Xenopus tropicalis: one gene and its partner. The protein of the gene in region 1 purifies or fractionates together with the protein of each later gene. This does not show direct contact. Links are inferred from orthologs where the notes say so. Each region holds a gene or a part of one and is shown on either strand. Other genes may lie near its edges.

Region 1 (2,727 bases):
TTGTAAGAGAAGGAAATGATCTCCTCCAAAAAAAAAAAAAAAAACACAACCCAACACCAATGCCGATAAACAGTTCTTACCAATCTCTTTAGCCATGGCGAGTCCCTGAGGGTAGGTAATTGGTGTGAGCTTCTTTTCTTTCAGCTTCTCAATAGTGTCTTTATCATCTCTCAGATCAAGTTTGGTGCCCACAAGGATAATGGGAGTGTTGGGACAATGGTGTCGCACTTCTGGGTACCACTGGGCAGAAGACAAACATTTACATAAGCACCAGAACAGTAAAGGGCTTCAGTTTCCTTTACAGAAAGGTTAGTGCCGTTATGTTATGTGAGAACCCAAGTGTTAAACAAAAAGAACAATTCTACAGAACAAAGGGTGTAGCTATACATACCCAGCCCTTGATCACCACCGCACAAAATGTAAATGCGGGTGAGAATGAAGGAGCCACAGTTACTGCACCAGGTGAGGGGGTTGTTGGCCCGGGCTACACTGTCCCTACAGTCAGGCCACCCCCTAAAGCAGTTTGCAGCAACCTGTCCTTTATACTCTACATCATTTCATATGGCTTGTCCATTTAATCACTCTGGCATGATAGCTGTAACTTATTATTATTATTATTATTGCTGTATGAGATATTCTAGGCCTACTACATGTAATATCTCATACAGGTTCAGATTAAATTAAAATGATTATGGAGCCTCTGAGCGGTCTGGGGGACATAAAAATCTTTTGGAGCTCCAAATCTGGCCCATGGGTCTCCAGTTGGACAGCCCTGGTCTAAACCAACACAACCCCATGGCACTAAGACTATAATTTAGAAAGTAACAAAAGACAGCCCCAGTACACCAGTCTTTGTTTTGGACAATCTGTATGTAGGTCAGTGCACTGGTAATATTAATGAATGGCAGCAGCCCCTGTGGCTTTATGTCACTGCCCAAACACCCCTCCTTCACCAGTTCATGTCATATTAATACGCAGCATTTCAGGACGCAGCTCTTACCTTAGCACGAACATTTTCGAATGAGGCTGGGCTAACCAGTGAAAAGCAAATTAAGAACACATCCTAAAAAAGAAAACAAAATAAACCACTGTAAAAATTCAAGTTGGCCCTCTGACTGCATGACAAGAGACACATACAAAATAAGCGCAAGCTACAATATATTAACAAGAAAGAATAAACAGGAGTAAATAGAACATAAAAATAAAATCACTTCCTGTTATTTTTCTGTGTTACCCCCGATCAGGGTATAATTTGAGATCAAGGTGACATTAAAGCATTAATTGTGCGCCACATGCAAGGGAAACAAGCTCTGTTCCAATTACAGCCCACACCAACAGAAGGTGGTTTGCATTGCCACCCACTCAGCTAGCGAAAGGGGAGAAAAACTCACCGACACATTGGAGGCTTTGGGGCTTGGGCTAAGGGCCTAACAGAAAATATTTAAGTTCAAATGCAGATTTGAATCTACAAGGCTTATTTTCTGTACATTTCTGAATACTGTATGAAAAAAATGGATTTTCATACACAGAATATGCAATGAGATTATCTTGTTTGTAAACACTATTTACATGCAGCAGTCGAAAGCTATGTCTGTTGTGTACGCCGCACCTGAAAATAACACACTTCTCAACAGCCCTATCCCATAGCTTTATAGGGCAGGTCAGCATCCTTCAGGTGTGTTGCAAGTCATGAGACTAATACAGTGAGTCAAAACCATAATAACTGGAACAGCTTATCTGTTCTGGCTGCTAATCTCTAGCCAGATTCTCAGGCATACTGGTTCCCCACAGAGTGGTTTGAGCAGATCATGCAGCCCCAATAACAACGGATGCCTTAATAAGAAATTCCGCTATATTCATACAGGGCACAACAAAATTATAAAGGAAAGGCAGCCAAACACTGCGTGATGCTACCTGATTCATCCGCCCACTGGCTAATTGGCCAGACAGGAAACAACGGGGCTGTACATGGAATATCCAAATTTCTATTTATCTGCATACATGATCAGAACTACAGGAGGAGAAGTGGAGCCGTGGATCCTCTTCACTTCATTTATTGATACCCCATAGACTAACAGATATAGCGAGCTGGCATATTAATTGTATGCCATACACACACAGAGAACCATAAAATACTCAATTTTCTACAACTGTATAGGTGCATGCATGGCCAAGCTTAAAACCTCTGCTTTCATTGCAGTAAACACACATACAGATATGGTAAATTACATAAGCACCATAATCTCCCACAGGTTGGACAGGGGAAGGGGAGTGGATACAAACACAAGACAATACACGTACAAACAGGTTTGCTATGGAAGATACTGTACACATTACAGCATTTGTGCAGAGCTAGATACAGTATCCATGGCATCCTGTGAGTGTACATGGACATTGTGACAACTGGCAAAATGTAAACTTTAAATAATTTTAAATCAGGACTTATATGGTGAAAATGGAATAGTGCAGCTAAAAAATAATGCAGGAAGTCCAGAAGAGCAGGGTGTAAGTTTAATTACAATCTTGCACAGCAGGAGGTCCTGAGAAGGTTTTACATTGGCGCCCAAAGGATGCTGGTCATTGCTGAATAAGTATAAGCGATAATGCTGGCTTTAATGCAAGGGGTAACGAATCAGGCATTTACCGTTTGAGGGTAAGACAATGGACGTAATCTGTCGTAGTCCTCCTGTCCGGCTGTATCCCATAACCCCAAATTAACTGGTTTTC
Region 2 (3,500 bases), about 37 Mb from region 1:
TAACCTATGCTTTGACTATAGTAGTGCACAATGGCATGAGATTGGAGAGAGCTCCATTAGTTGAATTGCAGTCTAACAAATTTCCTTGTGTGACATTATCCTTAATGTACATAAAATCCTCATAACTTCCCCAGTCATTTGACTTACTTTGGGACCCAGAAGGCCTGGCTGATCAGCGAGTACAGTAGCAAGTTCTTTCAAAGCAGACCTTAAAAATTTGCGCCTTTCTCTGTGTGTTGCTCCTCTTAAAAGAGAAAAAGAAAAAACAGAAAAAAATTAAATATTTTTATAAGAATGGAGGGCTATTGCTGTTGCAGCCAGAAGTGACCACGTCACTAAACAATGATCACCTGCTGTTCAACTACACCCTTACTATGACTTCCTAGGAATAAATGTAAAAAATTCAACTACAATTCCATTAGTTATTCGCCTTCCCTAGATTTTTTGCTCCAGCATTGACCTTGTGCTGACTGCCTCATAAACATTTAAAGAACCGCTCTTTACGCTAGAAGACAAATTGCACTTCTGTACAATTTTCCACTCCTAATCCTTTAGGCTTTATAGCTGTTCCTATAAACATACTCAGCCTGTCACTGCACAAACTATCACTAGAAAATATTAAGGTGGGGTCCAACATCATTAGAACAGTTTTATTTATTTATATGTCTTTTCACTGGACTATACCAAAAGAGATTTGTATATAAAGAATAGACTTCTGATGCCTAAGAGAAAGCTACACAAAAAGTATTATATTTGATAATTAAGTTAACATAAAACATACTTAATGAGTAATTAACACTATGAATTTGCGCACACACAAAAAATTCATGAAGGCAGACCTATGTCTACACAAGGATACATAACAGTAGTAAAGAAATATTACTTACGCATGTGATACTGCATTCTCTTTACACTCCCTGATGTCATTTATCCTTTTGTTGTAGCTGGAATAAAAAAAAAAAAGTAGATATTTTATAGAAAAAGTCTATTTAGAGGAAAATCTTACTGCATTAACTTGTTTTAAGGCTTAAATGTGTACATATGTTGTATGCCATATTTCACATTTTTTAAAAATATCTGTTTGTAAGAGCATAAAATATATTGTCAGTTGCAGCAAAAGAAAAAGGATACAAAATAAAAATTGCAGCTGCATATTAACAAATAATGTCTGCTGTAAATGAAAATTACTTGACTATTTTCAGTATTGTAGAGATTCCCATAGAATCTACAGCCTAACACAACACTTGTACCACTCAAAACTTGTACTTAGCGGCCATACACAGGCTGATAAAAGTTGCATACGAACAGTGTTGGCAGCTTATCAGCCTGTGTATGAAGCCCATCAATAGGCCCAGATATCCAGTGATATCTCGGTGAAAATAGCCAGATGTCGATCAAGCAGGTTTAAAAATTGCAGGTCAGGGTGAGGGGCACATAAGCTGGATTATGCGGTCCTCGCTTCAGATGCCTGTATCCGGTCAATGTGATCTAAAGGTTTTGGCACCTCGAGGTGGGGATATCTGAGAAAGATCCACTAATTTGGTGACCTTGCCAAAGATTTAGACCCCACATTAGAGTATCAGAATAGGTAAACTCTAATGTGGGGTCTAAATAAGGCACAATTCAAGAAGATTACTCCAATAGTTTTGCAATCGCAGCCCAGAACCATGCATATATTAGGACAAAGACACACGTGGCAATTAAAAGAAAAAAAAAAACCTTGAAAAAGTTGCAGTGACTATTAACCACACCGTAAACTATGAACGATTAGTTGCGTTGACTCGTATATTAATCTATAGCAGTTAAAATAGCTGCAATTAGTCGCCGCTACAGAGTTTTTTTTTTTTGTTTTTTTTAGCCGCAGTGACTAATCACCCTGTGTTCTTGGCCCTTAGAAGTGTCCCTAATTTTTCATGAACCTTTACACCACACGGTAAAATATATTTTATGTATTTTAAACAAACACTGTAGTCTGCACCAAACTGGATTCCAATCTTTCTCTGGGTACACATTCCTCTGTGTTCACCTCACAAGACCAAGTTATCCAATTATGAACAGCACTAACAAAATTAATCAACATTAATTCACATAATTGGCACAGAACAGGATAGCAATGTTTCAGGTCTACATTGACCCTTTGTTAGCTTGACAAAGCGTCAATGTAGACCTGAAACATTGCTATCCTGGTCTGTGCCAATTATGTGAATTAATGTTGATTAATTGTTAGTGCTGTTCATAACTGGATGTATTTTAAACAGCTCCCTGGATTTCTGCAAACAACTGGCTACTACTCCTTGTCTTTAGATCCAAGGTGAGTGCTTCATATTATACAACTGCAAGTACAATTTTCATTTGTTTTTATGTCATCTATCTTCTCCTTGGGTGGGTTTAATAAACATAGCATATACATCCATCTTGTAACAGCTGAGATTTAACTTTGAAAATATGGCTGGATATAAAGCATATTGAAACAGTATTTTACGGAGCAATATATATTGCACAAAAATGTTGCCTTTTAATATTTAAATTTCAAGCACAAAAACTCAGAATTACTATAGTTTTATTATGGTGTTTCAAACAGAAAACAGGTTCCTGTATGTAGAACCTCCATTCTTCCTTTTAACAAGAAGCAGTGCTTTGGCACGATGCTACCACTATTATTCTGCACCTGTTTAAAATTTTAAAAAATTAAACTGAAGCTTGAAAATTTCATCTTTCATGCAATGAATCCCCCAGCAAGGTCTAGGTAACACTGAAGTAGTTACAAACCTTTGAAAGACATTCTGGTGCATTAAACTTGTTTAAAGATTTTCAAATAAAGTAGTAGTGTTTCGCTCACCACAACAAGTAGCCGTGATCAAAATGGCAAGTGTGCCAGGACACTTACCCCCCTATGTAATAAAAGGTGCTATGTTTGCCCAGAAGCAGTAACCCATAGCAACCAGATGTTTGTTTTTAAACAGGCCATCAGTAAATGCTACCTGTTGATTGGTTGCTATGGGTTACTACTGCTGGGCAAACTTAGTGCCTTTTATTACATTACATCCTTAAAACCAACTGCAAGGATTTGTCTTGTTATTTCATAGAAGGAAAAAAAATATTACAACACACTATAAAGAATTAATATAAATTCATATAAAAAGCAGCTGACATTTTATTCTAGCTGACCAAAGGAGAAGAATATCTAGGCTACATCACAAGTACCCTCTAATGTTGACGAACAGATCTTCTGCTGCCTTGTGGATATGAAAAACTTCATCTCTGTAAAGACAGAGACATGAACTGCTCTGAAGGGCGAGCTTCCAAAGATTCAATGCTGTAGCATCAGTGTTGAGTATTCCATGGCACAAAATAAATCCAACTAGAAAAAAAAAATGAATGCTCTGTCAAATGTTATTTCCAAATGTGAAAAAAACTCACTACAGTGTATTAAAATTACAATAATTCTAAGTAACTTTGCAATATACAATGATTGCAAAAGTTCTCTATTTTATTGTTAT

Evidence for each region.
Region 2: the proteins of rac1 (region 1) and nckap1 purify together in Homo sapiens (pull-down; 4 studies listed by BioGRID and IntAct, with this or other methods). This does not show direct contact. The link is inferred for Xenopus tropicalis from reciprocal best matches to the Homo sapiens genes RAC1 and NCKAP1.

The regions. Positions count from the first base shown.
Region 1 is NC_030685.2:25,468,543-25,471,269, reverse strand, and holds part of rac1 (ras-related C3 botulinum toxin substrate 1), read right to left. Parts: coding exon 2,645-2,727; intron 1,064-2,644; coding exon 1,001-1,063; intron 241-1,000; coding exon 81-240; intron 1-80. UniProt on the Homo sapiens protein: Plasma membrane-associated small GTPase which cycles between active GTP-bound and inactive GDP-bound states.
Region 2 is NC_030685.2:62,003,957-62,007,456, reverse strand, and holds part of nckap1 (nck-associated protein 1), read right to left. Parts: intron 3,362-3,500; coding exon 3,205-3,361; intron 945-3,204; coding exon 888-944; intron 245-887; coding exon 148-244; intron 1-147. UniProt on the Homo sapiens protein: Part of the WAVE complex that regulates lamellipodia formation. The WAVE complex regulates actin filament reorganization via its interaction with the Arp2/3 complex. Actin remodeling activity is regulated by RAC1.